Linked DNA regions of Drosophila melanogaster. Changing the gene in region 1 together with any one later gene gives a genetic interaction. Each region holds a gene or a part of one and is shown on either strand. Other genes may lie near its edges. The genes, in order: Xport-A and trpl.

Region 1 (3,518 bases):
TACACCACGGGTTTCCACTCCCTGACCATGGAGTTCGATTTGGTGTGTCTGTGCGACTTCTTTGTGGCCTGGTCTCAGTACTGGCACCTCTTTGGCCTCCTAATCGGTGGCGTGGCGGCCACCAAGTTGATGCGGGTCCTGAGTCCCCGACAGATTTATAGAACTGGCATCTGGTGCCTGCTCATGTGCAGCCTACTGATGGGTCTTGTCAAAGACTTCAGTCTGCACTGTGGACTCCGATGCCTGGCTGCTGTTTCGTGCTGTTTTATGATCACCTCGGGGCAGTATATATGTAAGTAAAATTGAATATTTAAGAATACTTTAATATTAAATAACCTACTTTTCAGTTGGTGACATAACAGCGGGAAAATATCGCGTAGGAACCCTCATACTTTACGACTGCTTCTGGGCTCTGGGCTTGATTCTGCTCCCTGGCTTGGCCTCCAATGCTCCCAGCTGGCAGCACATATACTTGGGCGTAACTCTTTCCTTGCTGGTGATTGTCTTTCTGCTACCCTGGACTCCGGACTCACCGCGCTGGCAGCTGCAACACACCAAGGAAGCTCAACTGGCCATCGAGCGAACGGTGGGTATCCTGCTGGAAGCAGCCCGTACCAATGGTAGAATGCACAAAGTGTCCAAGGAGTTACCCCAGCAGTTGGAGGAGCTGAGAGAAAGGATGCTGGAGCCAATGCCCGCCGTGCATTGGATGCACTTGTGGATGGGCCAGCGTAGGAGTACTTTCCACTTGGTGGCCGTGCACATGGCACTTGCCACCTTCATGGTGGTCAACACTGGGCTGCTGCTCCATGTGCGGTCCTTTGGCAGGGAGCACCTGGTGTCCAACACACTGGCCATGGGCCTGGCCGAGATGCTTGGCTGCTTCCTGGCCCTACACCTGACCTTCAACCTGAGTGAACGCAAGTGGCAGTGGGCGGGGGGATTTGCCATCGTGGTCGGTTGCATCGGTAGCATCTGTTGGTTCCTGGCCGAGGAGGATATGCCCGAGGTGTATGGACTGACGCTGGGCTTGCTAATGGCATCACTTCCCCAGGCGGCCGTAGCCTGCGCCCAGTCCATGATTTTGGCCTGCCTGGGCGAACTGGTGCCAATGGAGCAGCGTAGTTGCCTCTCCTTCTCCGCCGTCACGTGGGCGCGGGTGTGGCAGCTCTCCGCCTCTTTTCTCACGCTGCTCAGGCAGGTGAGCCCCGCCCTCTCCCTGTCCGCCTTCTGTCTGCTGGTCATCCTGGGCGGCCTTGGCACATGTTGCCTGGTCACGCGGGACAAGGAGCAGCCACCGGTCGGAGCTGTGGTAAACAAGGGACAGCAACTTATTGCGTTCACGTAATAACGTATACTTAATATATGTCTGGGCGTATTTGATAAGTTAGTTGTAGTGTGTGTCAAGTATTCGCGAACAGTATTCGAATTTAGCTCATTAAACATTCGCTTATCGCGAATCGAATATGTATATTGGGTTGCATACTTTTGGGAATAAATCAAAAGTTCGGCATCTACACGTAGTTTGTTTAAAATGTAAAGCTTACATTAGATCAATGCAAAACTATTATAAACTATTTGGCAGAATAAGGCATTAAATAAATTAAAACTGGTTTGCATGATATTTAAATAAGCTTTCAGGAACCAGAGCCATTTGGGACCAATGTAAACCCACAAACACCAACCCTACCGGCGACCACCTTCATCCACCAAGTTGACACACATTTCGTGTGACTGGTATAATAAGTACACATGCCCGGCTAAATATCCAAGCGCATTGCTCCACTAACAACATATTTCTATTTGGTCACCTGTCCCACCATTCCCACCCAGCCAGAGCGACAAGCAGAAATCGCAAATCAATAAAATGGAAACCATAAAATTGCCAGAAGCGGCGCCACGCCAATTGGCACCACAAAGTTTGTGTCATTTGCGGAGCAGCAGTTGGCGAGGAAGCACCAGGCGGAGAGCACTTCCAGGACCAACTCCAATCAAATGCAGTGCTGTGCAGGCTGACCGACCAACTGCTGCTATCTGGATGCAATGAAGCCGAAGAAATCGGCCTTTGCCAATTCATCCACGGGATACGGCAGGAACAAGCACGGTAAAGGACACTCTGGCAAGGATAAAGTCGAGGGTGGTGGTAAGGGCAAGAGCCGAGACGAGAAGGATAAGCATAAGCATGAGCAGAAGGTGGACGAGAAGGATGACAAGGATCTAAATTCCGGCTTCGGCGACTATCTTCGCACTCCGGAGGGTCTGTAATTTTCGCTCCTTAAAAATATATAGTTCATTTAACTAATAAATATTACCCCTTTCCAATAGCATTTGAAATGATGAAACTCTTTGTCTTCGCCAATACCATAATGCTAATTGTCACCATGGCCTGGCCGCACATCAAGGAGCAATTCTACATGGTTAATCAATGGCTTGAAAGCTTCCGCGAGGAGCATCAGCAGTAGAAACCAAAGGATCTATCGAACAAATAAGTAAATCAAGTGGAAGCATACAATATGGTCGGTCCATTCATGCAGGGCCTATTCTTGATTGGCATCATCTACTGGTATTCCAAGGGGATGATGTCCATGATCAACGACTACTACAGAAGTGAGTTCCAGCGAAAGTTGCAGACGGAACCAGCAAAGACGAGGGCAGAGACACCCATCAATGTGGACAACTTTATGGATTATGTTAGGGAGCTGGACACTCCGGACGAGGTGGCTAGAATTCCGGCGGAAGGAACTGAATCTCCGCCCATGGGAAACACCTATTGCCACATCCTTCGACGATTCTTGGAGATTACCGGCACTCTACCACCATTCGATGTTTGCCTAGTTACGAGCAACATAAGATAGCCCATCCTATAATTAATTATATATGGTATCAATTATACTTAGTGTGTTTTATATGAGTTTCGTAGAATAAAATATCTTACTAACCGTATTGCATACTTAATTGTCTTGCTCTCTACATTCGAATTCTACATTGTATCCCACCATTATGAACAACAATAGAAATATTTATCCAACTTGTGGTTTTCAGCTTTTTTATTTAAATGTTTGCAGAATATATTCGTGTGTCTCCAGCATTAGCTCACTTACTAACCTATTCACAAAACTTTATAAACATACTAATCTCTATAAATATCATGGAATATATATCGATTTGGTCTGTAAGTAAGCTCTATTCAATCCAGATCTGGTCATTGCTAGTTTGCATCTGAAGCATCTCGTGAAAAATAGTTATATGGAGATATAAAGTAGTTAGGTATTTGACTTGGAAGTTATGCCATTTGGTTTATAATAAGTGCTGTCTACAAATCGCTTGTGTTCAGGTATTCGTTTTGTGGCACAAAGTGTAGAGTTTTGAAGATACCACAAAGCTGAAGATATCTTAAGTATCATTTGATTTAAGGAGGTCAGTATGTGATTAAGAGCTAGGTATTACCAATTTCATAAGAGATCCACATTCTAACATACACTACGCGCACCCACTCTTTAGCCAATTTCGTAAAATTA
Region 2 (5,133 bases), on another chromosome or scaffold:
GCTCCTGCTCCTTGGCCAGGATCGCCTCCTGCAGGATAACCTGCTGCAGGATAACCTGCTGCGAAATGTGTGAGGGCGTGCGTGTAACTATGCTACTTACTGTCTGTTTGCTTCTGGGACTGCCATCGCCAGACACACTCAGATCCACTGGAAAGTATTAGGAAAAGCTGTGAAGCTCAACAGAAAGATATAGAATTATGTTTAATTGCACTGGAAAATATTAGGAAAAGCTGAAAAGATCTACAGAAAAATAAAGGAAACTTGTTACCAATTGATTTATACTTTTTTGAGTTGCTGTTCTCCATTATTTATTTGCAGATTTAGATAGCACACAAACTTAGATGTCTTCGAAGTAATAAATTCATACTTAATTTATGTATTATTTATTATAAAATAGTTTATTTGTTAAGTGATTTTCAAAAATTTCGAGTGTATTACTAAAAGCCACGTGGCCAAAACAAGAAGATATAGCACAAAAAAAAGACAGGGGAAGTGCCAGATATATCGCAACGCGGCCAGAGAATCGGGAGATTGGAGCCAGGACGAACCTTAAAGGATGCTTTTACTCCGAACTGGAGCTCTTCGCCCACCGCATGCAGCTTGATAAAAGACGCAGTCATGGTAACCCACCTGCCACACCCGCCTCCTGCTCCTGCTCCACTCTTTTCCGCCCGAAAACCTCATCTGGTGTTTGTTTGTTTGTTTGGCTTCGCCTGTTTACGTGCAGTCATGCGAAGCTCCGGCCCAAACCTCGACTTTTCAGCTGATGCTGGAATCTGCTTCAATTGTTGTCTGTCGCCAAAGGATTCCCCTCATCCCTGCCCTCCTCGGCAGCCCAACAACCCGCTATGCTCCATCTCATCAAAATCCATTTTAAGATTTTTGATTTAATTCCGCCTTTGTTTGGCAAGTTGGTTACTGCTCATGCCCTCTGTGTATCTAGAGTTTAGATTTGCCTGGGCAAATTTGTTTATGCCCGTCAAAAGGCTGACTCTGCCGGAGACATATGAACATGTGAAGGACCCTCTTGGACTGTCTAGCAGTTCGTTGTATCCCAATTGAAGTGGAGCAGCCAGTGGAACCAGGAACCCTTTTCAATAGCAAGTTGAAAATGAAACAAACTATTGAAATAACACAATCATAGGCTCTTTAGGTTTACTTGAAATCAGTTTAATGGGTATCAGCATTTGAAAAAATTCGGTACAAGTGAAAAATTAATTAATTGAATTCAAACAATTACAAGTATTATGCTGCGTTACGATGAAATAATTGCAATATAAAAAAATTAGGCAATGAAAACACTAGTAGTAGATTTCAGATTTATAGCAAGTGTATAATGGTAGAAGGAGCAGTAGATTTATATGCAAGATGTTTCGAGTCGCAGCTATTAACATATATTGAAAACAGCAGCTAATCAATGTCAATCGAACTGCAGGCTAAACTGAAATTTTCCAAATCAAATTACGCACGCTGCATTGGGCAGCACGAAAGTATCCGCAAATGTGCAGCAGTTTGTGGCCGGAAAAGAGCCCGAAGAGCAAGTGGCAAACAATAGCTGTAGCAACCCAAATCAAATCATGGCAAATTAGTTGTAATTCAATTGCCGACAGTCGCCGTCTGGATCGTGGCCCCCACCTCCACCACCAGTCCCACCTCAGCACCAGCCCCTACATATGTTTGGGTCCTAATCCCCTTAGGCGAACTTGGCGAAAACTTGTTGATACTGTGTTTCAGCCCTCGACCTCCACAATTCATAACACCACAAACGTATATATAAACCTATAGAAATATATATATATATATATGTGTGGATAAATGTTGCACGGACAACCTCCAGGCGTATCCATGCGATGGGTGACAAATATTTGACGTTTTAGTCTAATTAAATTAGCCACATCGCCGCTCGGCCCTCGGGAAAGGTATAAATTTCTGCGCGTTAGTAGCAGCGTGTAAATTTCGCAGGTGGCACACGTTCGGGCTGCGTCGCGGGTTGTCTCTCGGCGGGTTTTCGCCTTCAAAAGAGCTGAAATTCAGATATACATAAACTACAACACACATTGTACGGGAATTCGGGAGTTCGGTGGCCAAACGTATTGTTATAAAGTATATGCCAGCATACAATTCATAGTCGCAGTCCTCTCACCTAAGCCGGTCACATGAAATTCCAACGTCCATTGTGCCAGCGAGTCGAACAATTGCACACGTTTTTATGTGCCGGAATGCAAGAAGTACGTATCCGTACGCTTGGTTATAAGTGGCTTAAGTGCAGTCCGTGAGCCAACTGAATTACGTGGCTATATCCTTCATTCATTGTGCTCCTGGTTGCTCCTGACTGCTCCTGGTTGCTCCTGGCAGCTGCAGGTTGCTCCTACCTCTTCCGTTGATTGTCAAGTTGGGGCTGTGTGTGCGGAGCTTGTGGTCTGTGACTGCTGGAGTTTCGATTCAACTGGCTGCCATCGCGATAAGCCCTTCGTTTTTATGAACTCTGTAAAATACTCAAAATTTGTTCTAGTTTTAATGAACTCCAGTGCGCTTGCGACAAAATTATGATACTTCGATCGGTGCCAGGCAGAATTAACACATCTCGGCTGCAGAGGGAGAAATTAGAGTGAAATATCATATGCATTTTACATCGTATGTTAACCGAATAGTTTATACTTGTTATAATATATACAGGTGCAGATATAATCCCATTTCGATGGGCAGTCGCAGTATGCACCTGCTGTGCAGGTGAACAGCTATAAATCCATTTATAAACGCTTCCCATGAAGTGGCGGATAAAACCGAATTTATTGCGACATTTTTATGTCCGTCCGCATTTTCGCCCGTCCTCCGCACTTATATTTCTATTAAGTTAATTAAACAATGCACCATCGGGGCTCCTGGGGTAGTCAGAACCACCTTTTGTTGGTACCGGAAGTGTTTTTTATGGAACAACCGCCATGATGATGGTTCCGAGTTTTTGCCTGCCGCGCATACAAAGCACTTGCATTTTTTATGACCAGCCCAAACACTTTTAAATGCATCTGCAGCATCCGCATCCATATCCGCATGCAGATCCGCATCCGCAGGAGCATAAAGCCAGTTTAAAGCAAAAGCATGTAGACGGAATGCATTTTTTCTTTGCGGATTATCGAAAAAAGCTCCTTAAATATTCATTTTGGCATTGTGTTCACACATGCGGAGGAAGGCAGCGGAAAATAAAAATATTTTCATCGGGTGTGGGAAAATATTGGGAAACAAAGAAATTAATTCTAATGGGAGAAACGATTGGCGATGATGTGAACAATCCAATGAGAGCAGCAACAACTAATACAAACTGCAGTTCGTTGCTAATGAGATGAGTGCAATAAAAATGTAAATCAAAACAGAAAGCCGATTGAACAATTGGTCATAAGTGGTGCAATAAGTGCTCGCGAATTTGGTGTTCAGTGTGGCCTTTGGAATTGACCAGTAACAGTCGGGAAACAGTGAAACTGCACAGTGTCTAATCAACTCACTAAATTGGCAAAACTTAAATCTTGCCCATGCAGATGGCACTTAAAAAGGGTTTAGCCAGCTCGGTCAGTGGCGGAAATAAAAAGAAAAACATTATAAACAGCTTAAATAGAAACTTTTTGCACGCCGGAAACCAGAAACCATAAACCAAGTCAAAAACCACCAGACACACACACACACACACCAACACACACAAGCACACCCAGTTGGACATATAACTATGGACTATACAACTATGAGTACAAAAGCAAAATCAACTTGAAAGTTGCATGTGGCCCGGCTTAGTATTGGACTTTTTTGGCTTTGCCATTGTGTATATAAATATATATGCCATATATGTAAATATCGTTCACTTTTCACTGCAAGTGTGCAAAGCCCTGCGACATGAAGTCGGATTTTGAACTCTGAACCCTGGACTTGGTACATGGAATACTAGTTACGAACTGCTGGCGTTCGGTTAAGTGAAGTGCACTAACTCTAGAATGGGTCGCAAAAAGAAGCTGCCGACGGGCGTAAGTAGAAACCCATCCAGGATCCCGATCCAGATCCGTATCCAGCAAGTAGCATGTCTTAAAGCCGCCAGTATTAGCTAAACGCCGCTTACCTTAAACGCCTCCAATGCCATTTAGATGGAAGCCAGACAATCAGCCCAGCATCCTCCACTTTGCACTTAATTTTCTTGTATGTTTATTTTTTATTTATTTGCAATTCCGCATACACGATTTCCCCCTCGCCACATCGGCATGTACGTATGTGGCTCCTGCTCACCTGTCTCTTTAAATTATGCCAGGTATCGTCTGGCGTCAGCCACGCCTCCTCCGCCCCCAAATCGGTGGGCGGGTGCTGTGTGCCGCTGGGATTACCACAGCCTCTGCTGCTCGAGGAGAAGAAGTTCCTGCTGGCTGTCGAGCGCGGCGATATGCCGAATGTGCGCAGGTGAGTAGCGCTTTTCACGCCTCCGATGCCCAGCAGGGAGGGGGGGGGGGTGGGTGGTGTTTCTGTATGGCATCTTGGGCGGGAGGGATACACTGCAAGAAACTCTTACCACAATCAGGTGTTGGATGAGCATTAGTATTCAAAGTTAATGTACAAGCTTAGCTAATGAATGTATCAATCGAGTAGAACCTAATGTATATTGATATATTTAGCCTTCAATTTAAAAGAAATAGTTAAACACACTACCACATTTATCCGAGTGTAGGGTGTTCGAATAAAAACCCTGACATTTTTAGAGGGGTATCACGAGCTCCAATGGTGGCTTCGCCCAGGGTAACACAGGTGTTGACTGGGCTGGGTCGCACAGGTACCATAAATCCCATCGGGAGCCTCCTTGGGTTCTTTGGATGCGGTGCTGGTGGTGGGTTCAATTATTTGCACACTCGTCTGCCGCGGGCCTCAAAATGGTTACCTAACTGGCATCCCGGCAGCCACTTAATAAGCAATATGAGGCCTTCGACCCGGATACTTTACGCTCGTTTACGGCTTTGCTTTAACAAATGTACGATTAATTCCGTTTGCTGGCAATGAATAAGAGATAAGCCAAATTATCCAAATACTTTTCGGTTGCCACTTAAAGCTGTTAACATGCACAATCAATTCGAGAAACGAATCTTATTGAAAAGCAACTTTTCGGAT

The links.
Region 2: of Xport-A (region 1) and trpl, changing one enhances a phenotype caused by changing the other (phenotypic enhancement), as found in Drosophila melanogaster (2 studies listed by BioGRID).

Annotation. Positions count from the first base shown.
Region 1 is NT_033777.3:19,913,820-19,917,337, reverse strand, and holds Xport-A (exit protein of rhodopsin and TRP A), read left to right. Parts: upstream 1-1,925; 5' UTR 1,926-2,043; coding exon 2,044-2,257; exon of another isoform or gene 2,258-2,261; intron 2,262-2,325; coding exon 2,326-2,462; 3' UTR 2,463-2,513; coding exon of another isoform or gene 2,514-2,855; 3' UTR 2,856-2,942; downstream 2,943-3,518. Other genes in the region: CG4465 (uncharacterized protein), read left to right, coding at 1-292, 348-1,348; Xport-B (exit protein of rhodopsin and TRP B), read left to right, coding at 2,514-2,855.
Region 2 is NT_033778.4:9,751,750-9,756,882, forward strand, and holds the start of trpl (transient receptor potential-like), read left to right. Parts: upstream 1-1,947; 5' UTR 1,948-2,090; exon of another isoform or gene 2,091-2,228; intron 2,229-3,864; 5' UTR 3,865-3,980; coding exon 3,981-4,010; intron 4,011-4,288; coding exon 4,289-4,434; intron 4,435-4,543; exon of another isoform or gene 4,544-5,133. UniProt on the Drosophila melanogaster protein: A light-sensitive calcium channel that is required for inositide-mediated Ca(2+) entry in the retina during phospholipase C (PLC)-mediated phototransduction. Required for vision in the dark and in dim light. Binds calmodulin.